Diceros bicornis minor: one gene and its partners. The protein of the gene in region 1 binds, or shares a complex with, the protein of each later gene. Links are inferred from orthologs where the notes say so. Each region holds a gene or a part of one and is shown on either strand. Other genes may lie near its edges.

Region 1 (8,032 bases):
TCCACTCTGGCTTTTCTTCCATGCAAATAGTTTCCCTGTGGAATCTTGGATTATCTTTATTCACTACAATTTCAGTACTTCATATCATCTTTCTGAATTACAGTCAAAATAGATAGATGTTCTACCCACAGGTTAGGAGCTTTTCCTTTAGTCTCCACTGTGAGCTTCTCTATATCCTAAGAAGTTCTGCTATTATTATACTACCACTTTTTTATGTTGTATAAGAAAAAGTCCACCAACCAATAATCTCACTCACTACTTCAATGAGGAAATCTAGACTTCCATTATAATACTGGTACAGCTATTAAATAGAATATGGCTTTAATTAATCCTGCCAGGAGGGGCACTAATAAGACGTTTCACATTTCTATTTTTAAAATTCACATGTAAGTCCTGACATTTCAGACAACACCATACTCACCTTGATTGGCAGGATACTGTTTATGACCATACGAATCTGATGTATTCTGAGGGCCCTTTTCTTTAAAATTTTCTTTTGAAGTAGGCATATGCAACACAGGACCATACTCATTACGCAGCTTGATTGCCATTTTTCGTTTGTGACTATTTAAAAATTACAAACATGAAGAATGTATCTTTGAGTACTTTAAACATACTCACCAATGTAAATATACTCACAGATAGCCAGGAAACAAGTACTTAAATAGTTTAAGTTTGCCTAATCATGTAGAAAAAGTTTCTATTATGATTTTAAAGTTAAAGAGATTTTAAAAAGCTCAAAATTTCCAAGTGCATTTCCACACTTTTGTTCACAATCCACCACTTAGCATTCATTAAGTCTAAGTAATATTTCAGTTTGTTAACCAATAAATATAAAATCTTTCATGATGAGTTATCAAGGGTCTGATTTAAAAATATATAGAAACTAATATATCCTTTAAAAAAACCTCAAAGTCAATAAACTTTCCGTCAAATGTCTAAATATAAAAATATAGTAAAAGCTTCCACAGAAATGTTTACTGGATGTGTATCTAAAAGAGTCAGTTAGAACTAATCAAAGTACTTACTTCAATATTTTAAAAAGAAATGCACTTATTATATTACTTTTAAGAATAGTCTACCTTATAAATTATATATATATGCTTGTTTGAGGAACTAAGCAGATTTTAATAGAAGGTAAAGGACAAAGAAGGAACACTGCACATAATGCAATCCCAGACTGGAGCTGGAGATGTAGAACCAAAAATGTGCCACCACTCAAAAATCTTCACCATACTAACGAGAAAAGATGGGAGTAGAGGTACTGGCCAGGTACAATTTCAGCTCAGCAAGGCTCTGAGAGCAGCGGGAAGCTGAAAGCACATACAAAGTGATTGATTATAAAATATAACACCTAGAAGGGACTCTCCTAATTACTGGGTATTTGTAAAATGCAATTAATTAATGGGAGTTTTACTGTAAAAGATAAGGCCAAAAAAAGTTAAATCAGCATAAATTATGCCCAAACACCACTCATTATTGAATAGATATCCTATGTTAGTATTACTCACTAATCTTTAAAGTTCCCCCTCTCCCTGCTCTCTTCCCCCAATATTAGAAGTTTAAATATTCTAGCAATTGAAAAGGAACTACACCTACCTCTCTTCATCCAAAGGCACAGGCTTTCCATTATCAGCTACAAACATGTCATGGGTCCTCTTCAGTGACCTGAACACAAGTGTGTGCACAGAATGTTTCTGTACCTCCTAGAAAGAAACAGTGTAATTATATATCTAGCTACAAATTACATACATTGTAACCTAAATTAAAGTCAAATTAGTTATACACGTTACATGTTAAAATATGTAAAAAACTTCGTACCACTCACCACAGCTATTTGCAGCAAACTATAAGAGTCAAGTTCAGGGAAGAGGAGGAAGCTCCTCTTTGGCCAGAGCCCCAGGTATACCAACTGAGTGATGCCTGAGATTAGTCATTTACTCAATAAATATTTACTGAGCTCCTACTATGTGTCTGGCAGGTACTGTGTTAGAAGCTACCAAGAGAATGATGAAAAGGCAGTCATGGTCCCTGTGCTCAAGAGGAAACAGACAAATAAAAATAAGCAAAATAACTCCACATTTTGATAAGTGCTATGAAGGAAACAAGCAAGGGGCTGAGACAGAGAACAGAGGAAGAACTTAGGATAGTTATGAAAAATCTCTCTGAGGTGATATTTAAGCAGAAAGAGGAAGTCAGCTTAGCACAGAATAGAAAACAATCCAGGCAGAGAGAAAAGGTGATGTACAAAGGTATTCAGTAAATGAAAAAATGCCGGGAGCTGTGCAGTTATATATGTTCGCTGGGAGGGCGGGTTGTGATGCAAGATGAGGTTACAAGGGTAGACAAGGTCCAGATCAGGTAAGCTTTTTTAGACCATTGCAACAATCTGTAATTTTGCTCTAGTAACATAAGGCCAGTAAAAGGTTTTAAGCAAGAAAAGCATGACCAACGTATATTTTAAACAGATTAATTTATGGGGGGAGGGGAGTACAAAAATGGAAGCAAGGAGACCAGCTGGGAGCTACTGCACCAGTCCAGGAGAAAGATGATGTTGGTCTGAATTAAGGTGACGGCAGCAGGTATGGACAAGAATCAAGAAATATTTCTGAGATAAGACAAGGCCTGCTAATAGAATGGTTGTTCAAGCTAAGGAAAACTGCAAAAGTTTAAGAATGGCAGATTTTCCTGGGGAAGGGCTGAACTAAGACACAATGTGAACATCAGAGACGACCGCCAGTCTCTTGGGACACAGAATCACTGACACTACCCCGCAGGGGGCGAGTACCCGCAGTGGAACATCAACAGAAGTCCTGCCTCCGAGGACAGTGCCCAGGTCCAGTGCCCAAGGATCAAATGAGGACGGGAGGAATTATCTCAGGCTTCCCGCCAGGACGGAACCTCCAACTCGTGCTCTCATCCAGCCTCTCCCACCTGAAGAAGAGACTCCCCGGCCTCGGCCAAACAGGCTCCCCTCGCAGCCTCTACTCTCCCCAGACTCCCAACACCCTCGATCCACAAAGCCCGCCGCCAAAGAAAACCAGTCCAGAAATAAACTACTCCTAACCACCCAAGCGTCACTTTACCTCCACCATGATGCTGCTGTGTATCTCGCTGCTCCCGCAGAAAAGAAACACTAACCAACGCAGAAACCGCCGCCACAACTGCACAGCCCCTTCCGGAATCGGGCGCCCCAGCGCCGGATGTGACGCAACTCCGTGCACGCGCGCTATTGGCCCACAGGCCTTCTGGCGGCGAGAGGCGGGTCTTTCTTCTCGGGCCGCCTCTAGGGCGGAGTTTCGGGACTGAGAAGCGGAAGCTACTGGAATGTATGGGTCGAAGGTTTTACTCTCCTCTTTGAAGAGTTTTTGAGACGACGGTTTTTTTGCCTTACTCTCAGCCTTAATTGTTTCGGTTTAGGGGTGTAGTTTGTGCTGTGTTCCCCAGAGATTAATGCTTTTTCTTCATAGAACCTCAGGAATCAGTTCTAGGTCTGGAGAGAGCAAACCTCCATCAGCCGTAAGGCTTTTCCACTGTCTTGCCCTCTTTGGGGGTTGCCTCCGCTATTTATGTCGCCTGACTTCACTATTTGGCTAAACTTGACTGGACGCATTTGGACGCCTTTGTAGCCTTAATGCCTAAAAACAATCCCACTGACACTGTCCACTAAACACTTGTTGAGTGAATGTTGCAGAATAGTTGTTTCAATTTGAGAAATTTTGTAAAAGAATTTTAACAGCATATGACAAAATCCAAAATTTATTTTCCACTAATAGATTTCTTTTCCCTAATCTCTCAGAACTGCATAACTCTTGGCTATTTCCTAGTTGTCTGCTGATTAACGTGGCTTCAACAATGCCAGGGTATAGCTTTTCTGGTGTAAGAAAGATACAACTGAAGACTTCCGCCATTTTTATTCATACACATCCTGGTGCCCAAGTGTTGGTATTTTGCTTTGTTTCCTATCCAGGTAAACTCTGCAGTTTGTGATCAATCCTGTCCGATTATTTTTCTATGTAAAAACAAAAATTGATGGAGTTGAACGTTTGCAAACTTGAATAGACAAACATTTCACTGGATCTGCTTGTTCCTTAACCATAACCAATTCAACTCATCTTGTCCCCAGAGCATACTGCATATACTTTATGGGGGGGAAATTTATCAGAAGTATAGCTTTGTGAATTGATAATCTTATTTAGAAATTTAATACTTTTTAATTCATTGAAAACATTAAGGTCATGTTTCTACTTGAAAAATACAGCCATCTCTGATTTTGAGGGTGAGTTTGGCTTAAGAAATGATTTTCTGTAACTGATTTTCTGATGATAGGCCTTGGCAAGGAAATGCCATAATTATAAAATATATACTTGGGAAACTGAATCATATTGTAACTTACCTATAGATAGTAATAACTATACAAAAGAACATGATTTTAAATAGCAATGAAGTTATAGAAATGTAAGCAAGATTCTAATATATCTAAGGCAATATAATAACTATCTAGTTGGGCCTATTAACTTGTTAGTTAATCCTGAAAAAAATTTATAAGCCCAAACTCATAAAATAATTGTAATAATTGAGGTAAATTGCACTAGATTATGCTCCTTTTAAAAAGCTCTTGTGAATCTACAAAATTATATTATCTACTTGAATGTTTTGGATAGATAGAGCTTAGTGACCCTAGTTATGTCAGGGATCCATGAATTACGTATATTGTAATTCATGTAATTACGTATATTGCAAATTTTTTTATATATATAAAAACCTGAATTTTTTTCTGGTGAAGAGATCTGTAGGTTTCTTTGGATTCATAAAAGGATCCAGGAACCAAAACAGGTTAAGAATCCCTGTCCTGGCAGACACCGAGAGCTGCCTTATTTGAGCAGTAGGGGTCACTGCTGCTCTTCATAAGAGTAGGAGGATTGTCCCCAGAGCAGGCATGGTGACTAATTTATTAATGTAAATATTATTAAGTCTATTTGTGTGAAAACAATAGTACAAATTTTAAGGAAGTCCTCCTTTCGTTGGTTAAGCTACTTTCTTTTACTCATCAATACAGGCGATCTCTTTATTCTCTTTCAAATGCTTGTATCATTTGCCCTTGAGTAGTGATAGGTCACATAAGTGAAGATTTCAGTCATTTTCATCAGCTTTTTATCAGATTTTTTATAGGAATAGTTTTCTGATTTTTATGCTGATAAAAATGATGAATATTATTATTTCTTCTTACTGTTTCTCTCAGCTTAGAGGGTTAAATATATAATCTTTCTTAGACACTACTCTATATATCATATTCTTTAGAGTTGTTTGGCTCACTGAGTCCTTTTTCCCATGAATTTCAGATTTGCAACTCCTCACTAATTTAAAAGGGAGGAATGGTGGAAGTTATCATTTCTTTTTGAATTCCTGAGGTCAGAACCTGTGAAAAAGAATACTTGGGCATTTCTTCCAGAAGTTTGGTCTTTGATTGCTTATTACAATGCTAAGAATGGACCCAGATGCCGAGGTAGTGTTGGTAAGTGCTTTTTCGCAACACAGTTGAGAAGAAAGCTTCTGGAACTACAGGAGACAGTGAGGGAGCTATTCTTCCAGCTAATGCCTGGCAAGGCCCGGGACATGATTAAGCTGCACTATGAGTTATAAACTTCTTAGCAAGGTGTGTGTGTGTGTGACACAGAGAGAGCGAGGAGGGAAATGTTGCTTATCACAATTTTGCCTTCCTCTACTTTATGAAGTCCCATCCATGTCACAAAAACAAGTATCAAAATTGAACATGATCATGACTCATAATTTGTCTTTGTGTTTCTATTTTGCAAAAATATGTCAGTGTTTATGCTGACAGAGAAAAATAGCGGTGTGACATTTTCAGTTTTCTTGGCTGAGTTCATACGCTACCATGTTTGATAGTATATTTGTTTAATTATCTGTATTCCCCAATAGACATATGGGGTCAGTATGGTGTGATATTCATTATTACACACTCAGTATCTAGTTGACTTGCAACTGGTAGGCTTTCAATATTTGTTGAATGATTGAATAAGTAAGGTGTTAAGTTTTAGACACTTAAATATGGGGATGGAAGGTGTTGAGACCTTAATTTTGATGTGGGGTTGCAGGTATTAAATCTGTAGGAAGGATGTTGTGTGTGTCTGGATATATATGGTATGTGCTCACCCTTGAAAAGATGCTACTATTTCAACAACCATTAATTTAACTTAACCCTTATCTGTGTGTAAGGCAGTGAATTGCTTGTATGAGGATGGTCTGTCTTTCTGATCATTGTAAATTTTATTAAAATGAAATATTTTTCATTGTATTTAGGCATGTCAGTGCCAAATTTTATTTAGTTTATATAAAAGTTAATTCTGACATTAAGTTATCAGATACTAATTTATTGGTAAAAATATATCATTTGCAAAAATGGGTTTAGTTGGCAGAAAAACTTCTTGACGTCAATAATTAAGAAGATTAAGGCATTTTGATGGTTTGAATATTTTACTATTATAATTTAGGCATTTTTAGGCTTTCTTTTAAAAATATACCACCAAAAGCCAGCATCAAGTTTATAGATTAACATTAAAAACATTCTCATTAGTCAGCCACAAAACTAGAATTCCTGCTATTCATCATTATCGTCCACACTTATTTTTTCCTGAAAGTACTAGTCGTGCAGTTGGATGAAAGAAGATGTAAGCAGTATAAAATAGCAATAATGAAGCAAAGCTATCTTTATTTGCAAACAGTATGATGGTATGCCTGAAAAAAAAACAAACAAGAAATCAACTAGAAAAACTACTGGAAATAATAAAAGGGTTCACTAAGCTATCTGAGTACAAAAAAAATATTCAAAAATCAAGCTTTCATATATGCAGTTGAAAAATATAATAGGGAAAATATCTTATTTAAAACAGCAATAAATGAAAAATATGCAAGACCTAGGTTAAAAAAACTTAAGGGACATAAAAAAAGGTTTGAATCAATGAAAATGCATACTTTTTTCTTGGATAAGAAGACTCAAAATTATAAATATGTATGTTATGCCATTAACCTAATCCTGAGCACATTTTACAGAAAATATTCTTAATTCAAGAAATAGTTATTAAATACTGAAAGATTTTTTAAATGAATGTTACTAAAATACTCCAAATAAAATAGAAGTTTTCATTTTCTACAGAGTTTTACTGCTGATGCTATATACTTACTGTATAAAAACTTTTTGTGATTTATTGCAGTTTGAAAATACAGCTTCTCTTTCTAATGTGCAATTTATGCTTTAAAAAAAATAGTCAGTCTGAGTCTTAAAAATTTGATCTTGATTTTTCTTTTGGATTAGTTCAGCAAACCCCAGAAGCATCTCAGCCTAACTCACCAAAAGATAACAGGGACATAGGTACTATTAGGAGGACATCAGGTGTCTCACAGGTTTGACAGAAGAATCAAATGATCACGTTTAGAAGTTTTGGTTATTTCTGCTGCTGGAGTTGGTAGACTTTCTCTCTAGAATGCTGCCATGAATATGACATGAAGCCAATTGACCTGATTCTCTGCTTATTTCCTTTGCAAACATTAAATTGGGGGAGAGAAGCCGGTAGGGTTGGCTTGGTACAGGGTCTGCCCATAGCTCAGTCACCTATGGCTCGATGGTAAGGGTATCACAACGTGAACAGGACCACTGGAGCCCCACTTCTGCATTTTAGGGGTCATTCCAGGGGAAGGGAGCAGCGCTCCAACAGGTGTTGATTATACCCTTTGTGGATTTGAGTCTCAATGTGACAGAAGCAGAAGAGCAACTCTGTGTTTTCTCTAGCTCTTGTGATCAGCATTAGGTTGAAGGAGAAAATGTTCTATTTTTCCTTTATTGCCAGGCTCTGTATTGGATCCCTTAAGAAAAGCAAACTGACATCTTTCAAGTCAATAGAGGGAGACACTCCACAAGACACAGAGCTAGCTCCTACTCTTCTTCCCTGCAATATGCCTTCCCATTGCAGGTGGCTAACCAATGACAGCATCTCCCCTTGGATAGTGGTTCTCA
Region 2 (7,563 bases), on another chromosome or scaffold:
AATAGTCTGTATGAGTGTTCATTACACTATTATTTCAACTTTCCTATTTGTTTGCAAGTTTTCATAATTGAAAAAAAAAAATTAAATTCAGGCAAATAAAAACATGACACCAGCCCTGAGAGATGCCTCAGAAGGCTCTGAGCACAGTCATTTTGTGGAGTGGGACATGAGATGGATTGGTCTGGAGAGACCTGAGGGCCACTAGGCCATTCTTAGGACACTAAGAATCTCAAAATTCTTTTGGGAAATCTAAGTGTGACCTTACTTGGAAATACCAGGCCTTTGGAAAACTGCCTACCCTACCAAGACTCACACCATAACAAGTCCAGTTCATGAATTACCAGGGCTCTGACCCTGTCCAGGAGAAGACCAACTTAGGAAACCAGAGGAAGATCACAAGGCCACAGAGGGGATGGAGGGATTAGGTGGTAGGGAGGTATTTGGAGATGGTGTGCCAAGCTGAATGGTCAGCACATCCCTGGGCAGTGGAACAGCTGCCTTGCTCCTGCCCTCCAGCCAACCCCTTGACGTTCCAGCTGCCTTTTGATTACATCTTGTTAAGTCTCAGGAACAGAGAAAGCTCACATTTCCCTCACTAACATACAGTGTGATTTAATCCTATGGAGTCAAGGAGGGTTTATGGGTAACCTCCTTCTCTCTACAACTTAAATCCATCCTCAGCAGGCTTCTGTCAACCAAGCCCCATCCTCCAGAGACCTGACACCCCATCAGCATCTCCACCGCATCTTCTGTATCCTTTGTCCCTACCCCTAACTTCTCCATCAGAAAGTTTTTCCTTTTGTCTTCTGCTCTTGGCTTCCTAGGTACTGGGACTCACCATGGCTTTCCGGTCTTCCTCAGCCATCTTGAGGCGCTTCTGAGCCTCTTCATAAGCCTAGGAGAAGAAACCAAGAGTGGAGGGGTGTGACGCCAAAAGCCCCCAGGCCCACAGCCATTCCCCCTCCAGAATCACAAGGATCATTCAGATGTTCCCTAACACAAAGAAATGTCCCTTCTCCACGAGGAAGCTCTATGGCTACAGGTTCAGCAGAGACTCACCTTAGCCAGCAGACCCAGAGGGGTCTTCTCCTCATAGAGATGAACTTACCACTAGAGGCAGCCCCTTGTGTTCCCAGAGATCACTATCTGCAATCATACTCAACCTCAGTTTTGACCCAGAGATTTTCCTGGGATTTAGAGAACATGCAGACCTTCTTGTCTGACCGCTCCAGGACATTACGAGTCCGATCCTTGTCCCGCTGCCGAACCCGCTCCGCGAAGGCATCCCGTTCCTCCAAGTCCTGAAGGCGTTCTCGCTCTGTCCGCTCCCACTCATCCTCCGACTCTGGCTTCTCCATTTGCTGTGTACTCTCCCTGCAGCCCAGCCCAGAGGATTAAATAAGGGCATCCAGAAGGCATATCCCATCATCCACCTGCCCCATCTCTCATCCTATTTCTGACTTACCCTGTCTTTCTCTTTCCTTTCTCAGAAAATTCCTCCTCTTCGTCTTCCTCTTCCTCCTGACGTTTCTTCCTGAGGTGTTTCCGTTTTTTACGCTTCTTCTGGGGACTGCTCCCAGCCCTGCCCATGGTCTCCTCACTGCTCTCCTCACTCTCTTCCAGCAACTTATAAGATCGGTTCTTCTCCAGCAGGGCTCGGGCCTCTCGCTCTGCTGCCCGAGCTGGCTTTTCTACGACTGCCTTCCGTGGCACCTGTCAGGAGAGGAGGAGATGAGGGATGTGAGCAACTCCTGATCTCTGACCACCTACTTTACCCTGTTTTTAATGTAAGGATTGACTTGATCTTAAATCAGCCTTCATTCTTTCTCTTCCCCATGGCTTCACGCCATGTTCGTCAGAGCCTCTCAGTTTCCGAACGTCCTTTCAGTCATTCATTTAACAAACGTTTATTGAAGCCTGTCCCATGCACCAGGTACTTGTTAGGTACTAGGGATACAGGAATAAACAAAAGAGACAAGCATCCCTGCCCTTGTGGATTTTACATTCTCAAACCCAATTCTCAATTGCTCAGCCTCTGCTATTCCCAATGATTAAGTCATGCCTACACAAGGACTGACATGCTACTTTTGCAGAAGGCTGTCACAGGCCTGGCACTGTCTCAGACTCCAGGGATACCCTGGTAAACAAATTAACATAAAGTCCCTACTCTCATATCACTTACATTCTAACCTAATCTCCCTTGACAAGCACCATATGGGACAACCAGGTCCCATCCAGGCTATTTGCCATTCTCTGAACATGCTGAACACTTCCACTCTTCCTATATACTTCCTGAGCACCTGCTCTGAAAGGTACTCTGTTAGGTGGCAGGAATACAAAGACGAGAAATACACACTCCTGTCCTCCAGGAGCTCGCCTTTTATACTTTTACTCATTCCTCCTTCTCTACTTGACAAGCTCCAGGGAGTCTTTGGGCCTGCTTTTCCTGCTCACTACCCCCACCTCTTCTGCCCTCCCACAGCACCTCCCACACATCCCTTCTACGGCCTCGCTATTCACCAAGGTGGTCCATGGGCCGTCATCACCTGGAAACTTGTTAGACATGCAGAAACTAAGATCCCATCCCAGACCTACCAAATCGGAATCTGCATTTTAACAAAGGCCCTGGAGAAATCCTATGCATGTTAAAGTTCGAGAAACACTGCTCTATAGCACTTAACCCAGCACACTTAGCCCTCCTCGTTCTCCTCCCCTAAGCTGGACGTCCAGCACCCAGCACACTACCTAGACGACAACGGACAACGGATGAATGCCTGTAAACTGAGCTTAATTCCCCGATGCAGTTAGCCCAGCCTCACCTGGATAAGTAACCTGGGCCCCGTCCCTGCTCCACCCCCTCTCTCGCGGTTCCCACGCCGGCCCCGCCCCAGCCGCGCCCCACCCCTCTCGACACCTTGTTCCAGAGTTTGAGGGCGAAGTCCCGGGCCGGCCCGCTGAGGTCCAGGGTATCAGTGTCCCGCAGGCGCTGCACGAACTCCTCGGCCGAGGCGCAGCGCTGCGCGGTTCCGATCAGGAACTGGGCCACGTGCCGCTCGCTCAGTCCCAGCACCGAGTGCAGCTCGTCCTGCACCCAGCGCTCCAGCCCCGCCGGCGTCGCCATGGCGACCCACGCTCTGTTCTCTGCTCTGAAGTGTCTCCAGCAGCCGCCCTGGCGGCCAGGCCGGGCTGAGGCCTGGAGCCCGGGGCTGGAGCCTCAGCTCCTCAAGGGAGCCGCCTTAGGACCTTGGGATTCGGTTTCCGACACCTCAAAGCCGTCTTCTCGGACCGCGGAGGCCGGAAGCGGCCGCGCTTTTCCGGCCTGAGCACTACGGTGGCCGAGCGAGTTCAAACCTCGCAGAATCGTTATCTGAAGCTCGGGGGAAAACAATGTCCTCTCCGCCCCTACCGAATCTCTGTCGCCCCCTGATGGTCAGTTCGGGGGTGTTTCACTGATTCATTCAACTAATGCTGAGAGCCTAAGGTGTGCTAGGCAATTTTTGTCGCTAGGGATATAGCAAAGAACAAATCAGACAAAAGTCCCTCACCGAGTTTACATTGCGCGGGGTGGGAAGGAGGCAAGATACATAATAAATAAAACATGTAAGTTCTATGGAGCCAAAAATAAGGCAAGATGTATGTGTGTTGGGGGGGATTCCATTTCAAATCAGAAGATCAGGTCCCGCTTATTAAAGATTAGCCCATGCTGATTAGGAGTGACCTTTGGACTGGTGCCTGCAGCAGGGTTGAATACAGGTTAGGCATAAGCGAGGACCTCCAGGCCAGGAAGTTGGGATCTGGGGGAAAAACAAAGGTGCCCACTTTTCTTGGTGCTGTGTCAGAAAGTCATTTTAAAAGCTCTCCGACTCAGGAAAATGCAATCTCTGTTCTGCTTCTTTTTTTGAGGAAGATTGGCCCTGAGCTAACATCTGTTTCCAGTCTTCATCCTTTTTTTCCTTTTTTCTCCCCAAAGCCCCAGTGATAGTTGTATGTCATGGTCTTACATCCTTCTAGTTGCTCTATGTGGGACACCGCCTCAGCATGGCTTGATGAGCAGTGAGTGGGTCTGTGCCCAGGATCCGAACCAGCGAACCCCAGGCCACCCAAGCGGAGCGCACGAACTTAACCACTGTGGCACCAGCCTGGCCCCGTAGTATGTTCTGCATTTTCGCTAACAGCTTGAGAAATTCACTGGTGGCTGCTTATTTAAAAACAAGCAGAACTTGTTACTTGACTCTCTACTATCTGACTTCTTTTTACCCTGCTTCATACTTTTTTTTATGATTAATTGGACTTAGCAGACACCTGTTGGGAAATGAATCGTTGTTATTCCAATGAGCAGCCACAGGTAGCTCCATATCACTGACTTCATTGACTTCTTGGATGCATTGTTTTATTTCTCAGATGGACTGTGGGCACCCCTGGCATCTCAGAGCTCCCTGCCTCCTCTTTCCTGGGTCACAACTGTTTAGGATCTTTACCTAATTAGCTACTGATATAAGCATTGTTTCCCTCCACACCCACAGCTTCTGTGAACTGCTTCTGTGAACTGGTTCATTCTTTTTTTTTTTTTTTTTTGGTGAGGAAGATCAGCCCTGAGCTAACATCTGATACCAGTCCTCCTCTTTTTTGCAGAGGAAGATTGGCCCTGGGCTAACATCCATGCCCATCTTCCTCTACTTTATATGGGAAGCCGTCACAGCTTGACAAGCGGTGCGTTGGTGCGCGCCCGGGATCCGAACCTGTGAACCCTGGGCCGCCAAAGCAGACTGCGCGCACTTAACCGCTGCGCCACCAGGCCGGCCCCTGAACTGGCTCATTCTTTTGACAGCTTGCTTGTTCTCTTGCTAGTAAATTAAGGACCTTCAGCATATATTTAAGATCAATTTGTCTAACACATTTTGTTTTTGGTAAAGGGGAGTCCCCTCTGACTAGGCTGAGGAGCATCCTGTAGTGGTAGAAGGACTAGGACTAGTCAACCATGCCTTTACTAGCCTGCAGAACTAAAAAAATGACCTGATAAATAAAACATAGGTCTTCTACATTTGTAGAAGATAGAAATTCTTTGAAATGAGAAAATCTCCCAACATCAACTATACTTGGGTAACAAAGGCATGAATTATTGATAGTTCTTAAACCTTTGGGAATATAAAACTCATTGTCTATCAGAGACCCCTTTTCAGGAAACTGCACTTCTAAACATACTATATTTTGCAGCAATTTCAGATTAATTATTTATGGTCTCGGGTCTTGGAGTAAATGCCTCTGAATTAGCTACTATCACACACTAGCTGGCTGCTGGCATTGCTATAGGCTTCTGAATACTGGTATCTTTCAATTTATTTTTTTTTTTAAAGATTTTATTTATTTATTTTTTCCCCCAAAGCCCCAGTAGATAGTTGTATGTCATAGCTGCACATCCTTCTAGTTGCTGTATGTGGGACGCGGCCTCAGCATGGCCGGAGAAGCAGTGCATCGGTGCACGCCCGGGATCCGAACCCGGGCCGCAAGCAGCGGAGCGCGTGCACTTAACCGCTAAGCCACCGGGCTGGCCCGGTATCTTTCAATTTAGAGTGTCCTCTGCTTCCAGTTTTTTAGCTCTTTTCTTCATTTATTTGTTCAGTCATTCATTCTAGAAGTAATTTTGTGTGTCTATTAGGTGCCAGGCGTGGTGATGCTGCAGTAAACTCAACCAACATGGTCTGCCCTCATGGCACTTCCAGTCTGGTGGCTACAACCTGCCCTTCCTCAAACCAGTCCTTCTCCTGCTAGTCCTTCGAGAAACCAGTGCAGGGCTCTCCCAGAGCCCTTTCTACATGTCAGCTCTGAGTTCTTGGTTCATCCTCATCATTTTCCCCTCCCACCGCCCATCGCCACTTCCCTCTCATGGCCAACAGGAAGATGGGAGAGGCTTGGAACGAGGAACACAGAGTTTCCCCCGCATGCACTTTTTTTTCCTAAAGAAGGAGAAGCAATGGGAAAGTCAGAGAGAGCTCCATTTTATTAGGGACAATTAAAAAAAAAAAAAAAAACACAGGCAATTGATAAGGAAGGAGAAATGAGGGAGGAGAGTTGAGGTGCCTCGTTAGTCACCCCACATCCTTGCAATTCAATTCAATTGAGAACCACTAGGAGAAACAGAATTAAATAACTAGATGGGAGAATGGAGTTAAGATCCCCAGCCTTCCCTCTTGGGGAAATCTGAGGCACAGTAATACTGAGCAAAAATGGAGGAAGCCACACCCCAAGGTCACTCCCAGTGAGGCAACAGCAGGGGACAGGGGAGAGGATTCCACATAGACACGGCAAGTAGGCGTGGCTTGTAAACCTGGGACTTTGGCAGGTGGGGCGGGGAGCTGGTGGGGTTTGTAATCCAGGCTGCAGTCAAGAGAGGAGGCAAGAGCTGTAAACAAAGGGGCAGTGACCTAAGGAACAGGATGAGAGGTGACTGGAAATGGAGTGGGGGCCAGGCGTCTCAGGGAGATGAGTGCTGAAATCCTGAGAACCTCAGGGGGTGGTGGGGAGACAAGGAAGGTTGTAGGGCGAGTATACCCTGCCCATGGAGATGGAGAGGGTGCTCCATCTCCATTCCCCAGGGAGCTCTGTGCTCCTCCCTGGGAATTGGTGCTCACTCTTGGATCACCTAGGATACACCCACACGCCTGACGCACTCACACCAGGGACCTGGGGTGAGGGTGGAAATTGGGCGATTGGCTCTGCCCCCAGAAACAGGATGAGGAAAGCGAAGTGGAAGATGTTGGTTGCCCTTCCCTGCCAGGCTCATTTTCAGGGTCTGTCTGCTCTGAATCTTCTGGGCTCCAGGATCTTCAGTTCTGGGAAGGAGCGAGGTATATCTCTGTGTTGGAAGACGGTCACCTCCGGCAGGACTCATCTGTGGGAGAGGAGGCAATAATGACAGAGAATGAGTGAGGCCTCTGCTCCCCACCTTCCCCACCCTCTCCTCACACTGAAGGCCAGTTGGCATATGGGAAATCTTATAACATCTTCCACATCTTGAGTGCTTGTTACTACCAGCAACAGCAGCCATCATTCATTTAGCTCGAATTCTGTGCCAGGCTTTTTTTTTTTTTTTTGGTGAGGAAGACTAGCCCTGAGCTAACATCCATGCCAATCCTCCTCTTTTTTTGCTGCGGAAGACTGGCCCTGGGCTAACATCTGTGCCTATCTTCCTCCACTTTATATGGGACGCTGCCACAGCACGGCCTGACAAGCGGTCTATCGGTTTAAGCCAGGGATCCGAAACTGGGCCGCCAGCAGCGGAGCGCACGCACTTAACCGCTACACCACGGGCTGGCCCCAGGCATTCTTATAACTCGTTTAATCTCACCTCAGGCGAGGTTAAGTAACTTGATGTCCAGCCATAGTTCCTAGGTGCTTCACAAACATTACTTAACCCTCTCAACAACTCTAGGAGGTAGTTATTATTAACCCTATTTCATAAAGGATAAACTGAGGCCTGAGGTCACGTAATTTCCCTGAAGTCACACCACAAGTAAGAAACAAGATGGAATTCAAACTCAGGCCTGTCGGAACCAAACCCTGTGT
Region 3 (8,166 bases), on another chromosome or scaffold:
TCTGTTCTCACATCTCAAAAAAACCTGATCTAATTCCTTATCTTTGCATATCCATGACTACTGAGTTCTTGCTTGGCTCACAGTGTATCTAAGACCATAAATTCTCCTTTTGTCTAATCGAGACCAGTGCCTGCTAGGAGAGATAATTATTCTTTAGCATTCAGTAATCACCTGTGCCTGGATCATAAGTGTCAGCATTGTTTGAAACGTTAACGGAGCCCAGATCCCTACTGTGAAATGCATAGTCAGACAGGCTTGGATTGGAGTATTGCCAGTTACTAATTCTAGGACTGTGGGCAAGTAACCAAACTCTCTACATTTCAGTTTTCACAATTATATAAAAATATTAGATTAGAGAGGATCCAAGGACCTGAATTTTGGGAATGAGAGGCAGAGGGAGCAGGGAGGGACTCCTCCTGAACCCCGGGCGCATTCTTCTTCTCAGAAAAACATATCTCTCTTTCCACTGCCCACTCTGTAACTCTTCAGTGCCTAAATGGAGGAGTCAGGAGTTCTTCGGTGCTGTCATATGTTTCTAATCAGCCCACGATTGCAGTGTAGGAGCTCAATATTGGTGATAAATATACTTTATGAGTGTTTTTTTGAGGATATATTCTTAAAGGCTGTTCCAATAAATAATTTACTGGGGCAATGAAAGATGCAGGAAGTGACTCTGATTACATCTTGGAGCACCTAAAGCTTGAAGTTTAAGGAAGCTAGGCAGCCCACAGCTATTTAAAAATTTCCTGGAAGGGATAATTCTTCCACATTACATTCTTTACAAAGGTTACAGCCCAGCAGCTGATCTCTTGGGTGGTGCCCTTCTCCCATCTCCCTTGTGGATGCCACTCTGAAATCATCGTTGTCGCAGGTTTTTGGACTGCTTGGTGCATTGCACAAGCTCTTCTGAGCTTCCATTTCCTCATCTTTAAAATTGGAATAGCATATTGTCAGGATTTGTGGTAGGGCTTTGAAGATATTTGATAGTATTATGGCCAGGAGTGAATGAATCAATCAGTAGATTGATTGGCTCATTTATTAAATCACCAACTATTCGGTTAGTGCCAATTAAGGTCTAGGCACTGTGTTAGGTTCTGAGGTTATTGTGATGAACAATACAGCAATCTCTGGCCTTCTGGAGCTTAGAATACAAAGGGAAAACAGACTCCAAAAGAGTAAAAAGCAAATCAATATAGAAACACAAATCACATGTGTTCTGAAGATAATAGTCAGGAACACTGGTAGAGAATCTTGAGCAGAGGGGAGGGACTGTCTTAGATCTCACAGTCAGGGAAGGCTCCTCTGATGTGGTGACATTAAGCTGAGACCTGAAGGGTGAGTGCTCCAAGACTTCTCTCTAGGGAGGTTCCCAAGGAATTATTAATGGGCCCTCTCAACAAGATAAAGTTGAAATATCTTAATATGATATTCAAGATCCTCTATGATCAGGATTGCCAGATAAAATACAGGATGCCTAGTTAAATTTGAATTTCAGATAAACAACACAAAGTTTTTAATATGTTACTAAATATTGCATGGAGCAGATAGTAAAAAAAATTTGAAGTTTATCTGAAATTCAGATTTAACTGGGTATCTTGTATTTTTATTTGCTAAATCTGGCAACCCTATCCATGATGTTCCCTGGCCCCCCTCTCCTGCCCTACTTCCCACCATTCCCTGCACACACCTTATGCCCTGTCTATAAGAGATAGTCCAACTTCCATGTCTTTGGGCGTGTTGTTCCCTCTGCCTGGGTCACCAGACTCCCACCATGTCTTCTTGGGAAACTCTTCTCATCCCTTAAACCCTAGTCCAAATGGCACCTCCAGCACGTTATCCCCATTCCAGGGTGTCACCAAACCTGGTTCGCATAGGGTTTTGCCTTATGATTCTATGTTTTAAGGTCTGGTCTCTAAAAATACACAGAGAAGATTGAATGCCTTCAATACTCTTGAAAGGAAGGGGTATAAGGAATGACCTTGTCCCTCCTGCCTCCCCCACCCCATCATCCTCACACAACTCCTCATAGTATTAACATCAAATATTGATGGAGCACTTTTCTGTGCTGGGTACCCTGCTAAGGGCTTTGTATACAGCATCTCACGTAAACTTCCCAAAGTCTTATAAGGTAAATTCCATTGAATCTCCACTTTGCAGGCAAGGCAATCAGGCACACAGAGGTGATGTCGCTTGCCTCAGTTTCCACATCTGTAAAATGAGGATCATAACAATGTCTCCCTCATGAGGGTTTCTCTCCAACTAGAGTGTAGGTTCCAAGAGGGCAGGAACTTTCTTTTTAAATAAACCTCTGTATCCTCAGAGCCCAGGGTTGTGTCTGGCATTGAGTAGGCACTCAATAAATACTGTTGAATGCATGAATGAACCACCTTACAGATAAGGAAACTGCAGCTTAGAAAGAGAAAGTAACTTGCTCACAGGTAGATGTGGTGAGACTTTGACTAGAACCAGAATCAATGGTGTACTGGTAAACGTTTACCAACCCCGATTTGTAGCACTTGTTGATTTCCATAATGTAAATACTTCCACCATGGCCAACTTCAAGCAACCAACCTGATGTCAATCTGCTTGCAAATTTCCTGAAAATTTAACCATAGGCACTTGCAAGCTCCAGCATACCCCTTACTAGAACAAAGTTCTAAAGGGTACATGGTTCCAAAGGGTACACTCTCACCATTACTCTGTTCAGCCTCCCTGAACAGGGCACAGTCTACACTCACAGCTAAGTAGGAAGAGAAAAGACACCTGAAAAACTCAGTTCAAAGCAGATTGTGTAGGTGATCCTTAAAAAACATAAATCCAATCACTAAACGCCCCTGCTTAAAACCTTTCAATATCTTCCTGATGCTCCTACCATGAAATTTAGTCTCCTTATCATGACCCACAAGGCCCATTGTGAAACCTCCCCCTGTGCCAGGCACTGTACAAGGCTTTTGTACTGGGATATAATGATGAACGTGACCTCCACAATCCCTCCTCTCATGGAGCCTGCCTGCAGTAAATGAGGCTGTCAATAAACAAGTAATTAACCATTAAGAACAAAATGACAGATGGAGATATATGTGCAGTAAAGGAAGTGCTAGGAAAGAGAATAATGAGAAGGGGCTGCTTACCTGAACTGAGGGATAGTTGAGGAAGGCTACTCTAAGAAAGTGACATTTGAAACCCGAAGGATGAGAAAGAGTTGGATGAGGTGTGGGGCTAGTGGCCAGGCAGAAGAAGAGAGGATTTGGCACTTTGAGGAACAAAAATAATTTCTGTATATTTGGAGACTGTGGAGATGGAGAAGGTGATTATAAATACTGCTATGGTCTGAATGTTTGTGTCCCCCCAAATTCATGTGTTTAAATGAAGTGGAGCTTTTGAGAGATGATTGGGTTATAAGGGCAGAGCCCTTATGAATGGGATTAGTGCCTTTTTTTTTTTTTTTGCTGGGAAAGATTGCCCTGAGCTAACATCTGTTGTCAATCTTTCTCTTTTTTTTTTTTTTCTTTTCTTTCCTCCCCAAGGCCTCAGCACATAGTTGTATATTCTAGTTGTAAGTCCTTCTAGATCTTCCATGTGAGCTGCCACAGCATGGCCACTGACAGACGAGTGGTGAGATTCAGTGCTTGGGAACCGAACCCGGGCCACAGAAGCAGGGCGCAACAACTCTAAATGCTAGGCCATCAGGGCTGGTTGGATTAGCATCTTTTTAAAAGAGGCAGGAGAGCTCCCTCACCCCGGACACCACATGAGGACACAGTGAGAAGGTACCATCTATGAACCACAGACCAGACCCTCACCAGACAACAAATCTGCCAGCGCCTTGATTTTGGACTTCCCAGCTTCCAGAACTGTGAGAAATAAATTTCTGTTGTTTATAAGCCACCCAGTGTATGGTATTTTTGCCATAGGAGCCTGAATGGACTAAGACAAATATTATGAACGTGAAGGGCAGGAGGCTAAAGGCTCAGGCGACTAAGGAAGAGGCTTAACACCCTTTTAAGATGGAGTCTTATTTAAATCCCAGGAGTTCAGATGCACTCTGAATGATTCTCTTCCAGTGATGGGCAACTCTCTCCTACAGAAAACTTTTTTATATCACTTGGGTAGAAACAAGATCATCCAGTTCCCACCCCGCCTTGCATACATGAATAAACAGAAGCCAGAGAGGGAAATGTGATCACCAACAGTTTCTCAGACAGTAACAGTTGCACGGACTTGGACAATACACTTTCTGAGCCAGACCTGTCCAATAGAAATTTAACAGGAGCCGTGAAGACAGCCACATATGTAATTTACATTTTCTACTAACCACATTTAAGAAGTAAAAAGAAACGGGTGAAATTAATTTTATATATTTTTTGACCCAATATATCCAAAATATCATTTCAACATGTAATCATTAGAAGTTTTAGAAACCGGGTGTGTATTTTAGTTACACTTATGGCACGTTTCAAACATGACCTAGCCATCTTTCAGACCCTCAGTAGCCACATGGGTATAGCGGCTATAGTACTGGACAGTGCAGTTCTATGCCTCAGTTTCCTTATCTGTGAAACGAGGATAAAGTTGCCTAGGTCACTGGAAGGACTGTGAGGGCACACGTGAAACACCCAGCACTCCACCCCGCGCTCGCGCCAATAAAGCTTGGGTCCTTTGGGTCTTTTCTTTCACCGCACCGCCCTCCTTCAAGTCTCCGCCCCTTTCCCCGCCCCCTTCAGGCTCAGGGCGGAAGCGGTACTGTCGCAAATGCGGCGCGCTTTACGGTGGCGCTGCCTTTTACCGCAGTGTGGCCGACTCGCGCGTCGCGCGCACTTTTACCTCATTGGCTCTGCGGCTCGGCTCACGGCGCTTTACGGCAGTGTGGCTGGAGCCGCTGGTGAGGGGTCCCCTGTTTGGGCGTGAGTAGAGGGAAGCGGAGTAGCAGGTGTTGGCTAGGCCGGGAACCATGGACGTGGGTGAACTTCTGAGCTACCAGGTATGAGGGACGAGGAGGGCCAGAGGACCGTCCGCTCACCCGGGCATCTCACCTCCTCTCCCCTCCGTCCCGGGCCCTCTCTTTTCTCGTGGCACCGGGGTCCGAGCCTCTCATTTCACTTCCCTCCCTTGAGACTCGCTTGGGTCCTTTCAGTTCGTTCCTTCTCAAGGTGCGAGCCCCTTCTTTTCAGCTGCAGTGTGGGCCCCTTCTCACCCCACCCTGGGGCCTGGTTCCCTTCAGCTTTCTGAAGGCCCCAGACTATCTTCGCAACCATCCCTCTTTAGCCCTCTTACCCCTAGTCGTTGAGTTTGTGGTGGTGGTGGGAGAGCCCTGGACCCCCAGCTTCTCCCCTGACTGGCCATGTGGCTTTGGGACAAGTCATTTCACCCTCTTTGAGCCTGAGTTTCTTTATATATAAAACGGAGGCAGTAATAACTACCTAGTGGAGTTGTTTGAGGACTATATCAACTAATGGATGTGATAGCCGATTTTAAAGTGTAGAAAGCTGTACCCCTGTTAACTGCAGTTGTTGGGAGATGTTTGGAATTCTAACATGGGATAGGTCTCTAGGAATCTTTGTCCCTCTTGCTCAGGATACTTGTAGGGAAACAGTAGCCCACAGGGCAGAAAGGACTTGTCCAAAGTTACTCAACAAGTAAGAGCTGAGATTAGAGCTGAGGTCTCCTGGCTTCCAGCTCAAAGTTCCCCCACTCTTTTGACTTCCTAAGGAGGCTCCTTGTGAGAGGCAGTAGAGCTGTGTTGTCCAATATGGTACCCAGTAGCCATATATGGCTATTCAACACTTGAAATGGGACTAGTCTGAATTGAGAAGTACTCTAAATGTAGAATCACACTGGATTTTGAAGACTCAGTGTGAAAAAAGTAAAACTTTCTTGTTGGTTACATGATCATATTGATCATATCAGGTACCATGATTATTGATCATATTGATTAGATAATCTTAGTATGGGTAATGGGTTAAGTAAAATACATTTAAAATAAATTTTACCTGTTTCTGTGACTTTTTAAGCTAGCCTTTTGCTGTGGCTACTGCTGGCCTTATATTTCTGTTGGACAGCTCTGCAGTAGAGAGTAGGTAATGAAGAGCCATGAGTCTGGAGCCCCATGTTGCTCAGAATCTCTATTTTGCTGCTGACTGGCTTCTGTGACCTTGAACAAAACACTTAACCTCTCTGTGCCTTGGTTTCCTCATCTGTAAATGTGGGCAATGATGGTACCTACCACATAAGTCTGTTGTTAACAGCTGTCGTGAACTGTAAAGTGCTTAGGCCGATGCTTGTCAAAGAGTAAACGTTCAATAAATGTTGCCAGTTATATTCATGCCACTTCCTCAGCCAATATACAAAGAACTGACCTTAGAAACTCTAGACATCATGGGAATGAACTTGTAAGCAATGGGAGATATATAGCCAAGAGATGTCTCTTTTTAAGACAATAATTGAAGGTGAAAGAAGAAAATAGGGGGTTGTTGAATGAGTGGTTGTATACCTGTTTGGGAGTTGTAGAATGACTAGCACGTTGACTCGTAGAATATTAAAGCTAGAAGAGGTTCATTCATTTGCTCAACAAATATTTATTGAACACCTACTGTGCAAGGCACTGTATCTACTGAATATACAACATTGAGCAAAACAGACAGAGTTCTTGCTTTTGTGGAGCTTATAGTCTGGTGGGGAAGTTACAAGATAATAAGTCAGTAAACAAACCAGAAATTCAGATTGTGATAAGCACTTTGAAGGGTATGCAGAATATACTATGCTGTGCTGTTTGGTGTGGTAGCCACTGGGCACAGGTGACTATTGAACACCTGAAATGTGGCTAGTTCAAATTGATATCTGCTGTATGTGCAAAATACCTGCTATATGTGCAAAATACACACTGGATTTCCAAGATTTAGTATGAAAAAAATGAATGTAAAAAATATTAATAATTTTTATATTGATTCCATGCCGAAATGATAATACTAGGATATATTGGCTTAAAGTAAATAGATTATTAAAGTTAATGTCACTTTCTTAAAAACTTTTTTAATGTGGCTACTAGAAAATTTAAAGTTACATATGTGGCTCATTTGTGGCTTTCCATGTATTTTCATTGGACAGCACTGCTAAAGAAAATAACCCCTGGGAATGCGAGGCAGGACCTATTACTTTAACTAGTATGGTCTGGGAAGGACTCTGAGGAATGGACATTAAAGGATTGAAGGTTGAAAGGAGCCAGTCATGTGAAAAGGGCAGAATGATCTGGGCAGACAGAATAGCAAATACATAGGCTGTGAGGTAGAGGCTGGGGCAGCCTGTTAGAGGATCAGAAGGAGGACTGATGTAGCTGGAACATGGTGAGTGGGTGGGGGAGTGGTAGGTGATGAAGTTGGAGATGTAGGCAGATGACAGGCTATGTAGGCCTTCCTGTGGGCCATGATAAGGAGTTTGAATTTTATTTTGAGAGATGTTATAGATAAGCTCGTTTACAGATGAAAAGTGAACTCCATTCTGGGAGAGGGACTTCCCTGAGGTTGTGGGCCAAGGGAGTGGCAGAGTTGAAACCAGAATCCTGATCTTCTTATTTCTGCCCTGTTCATTTCCCACATGCACTGTTCATGCAGTTTCCTTTCTGTAAGATCCATGTCCACTCTTCCTGTTCCTAAAAGATGGTACAGTCTGGAATCTAGTCCATAATCAGTCAACTGCACCCATCCTCCTGTGGAAAGTTATGAGGATCATCTGAGTTAATGGATGCAAAAGCTCTTTGAAAACAGTAACATTTTATAGATGTGAAAGATGCATTACCTACCTGCATCATCTCTCTAAATCCTTATAACAACCCTATGAGGAAAGGTACTGTTTTTAATCTCAATTATAAACATGAGGGAACTGAGGTACGAGAAAGTACCTACCTTATAACTGGAGCTCCTAACCACTGTGCTGTACTGCCTACCTACTCTGTGCCGGATGCTGAGCTAAAGTGCTTTCAGATAAGTTCTTGATTTAATTCTCAACATGCCCTTTGAGGTTGGTAGCATGCCTATTTTGTAGAAACAGAAACTCCAGTTAGAGGTCAATTACCTGCCCAAGGTCAAACAGCCAGTAAGGGGCAGAGCCAGAACTGCAACCAACTGAATACTCAAATCTGGTTTTCCGTTTTGTTCTCAGATTTTTAAAAAC

The links. The genes of interacting proteins can lie anywhere in the genome.
Region 2: PLRG1 (region 1) and DHX16 share a complex: the UniProt entries of both Homo sapiens proteins name them as parts of the minor spliceosome. The link is inferred for Diceros bicornis minor from reciprocal best matches to the Homo sapiens genes PLRG1 and DHX16.
Region 3: PLRG1 (region 1) and CTNNBL1 share a complex: the UniProt entries of both Homo sapiens proteins name them as parts of the PRP19-CDC5L splicing complex. The link is inferred for Diceros bicornis minor from reciprocal best matches to the Homo sapiens genes PLRG1 and CTNNBL1.

Annotation. Positions count from the first base shown.
Region 1 is NC_080750.1:42,617,991-42,626,022, forward strand, and holds the start of PLRG1 (pleiotropic regulator 1), read right to left. Parts: upstream 3,187-8,032; 5' UTR 3,096-3,186; coding exon 3,087-3,095; intron 1,707-3,086; coding exon 1,600-1,706; intron 1,314-1,599; exon of another isoform or gene 1,242-1,313; intron 565-1,241; coding exon 422-564; intron 1-421. UniProt on the Homo sapiens protein: Involved in pre-mRNA splicing as component of the spliceosome. Component of the PRP19-CDC5L complex that forms an integral part of the spliceosome and is required for activating pre-mRNA splicing.
Region 2 is NC_080753.1:34,433,728-34,441,290, reverse strand, and holds the start of DHX16 (pre-mRNA-splicing factor ATP-dependent RNA helicase DHX16), read right to left. Parts: upstream 3,298-7,563; 5' UTR 3,122-3,297; coding exon 2,915-3,121; intron 1,714-2,914; coding exon 1,466-1,713; intron 1,375-1,465; coding exon 1,212-1,374; intron 896-1,211; coding exon 839-895; intron 1-838. Other genes in the region: PPP1R18 (phostensin), read right to left, coding at 6,870-6,889. UniProt on the Homo sapiens protein: Required for pre-mRNA splicing as a component of the spliceosome. Contributes to pre-mRNA splicing after spliceosome formation and prior to the first transesterification reaction.
Region 3 is NC_080758.1:22,436,815-22,444,980, reverse strand, and holds the start of CTNNBL1 (beta-catenin-like protein 1), read left to right. Parts: upstream 1-4,869; 5' UTR 4,870-4,951; coding exon 4,952-4,981; intron 4,982-8,166. UniProt on the Homo sapiens protein: Component of the PRP19-CDC5L complex that forms an integral part of the spliceosome and is required for activating pre-mRNA splicing.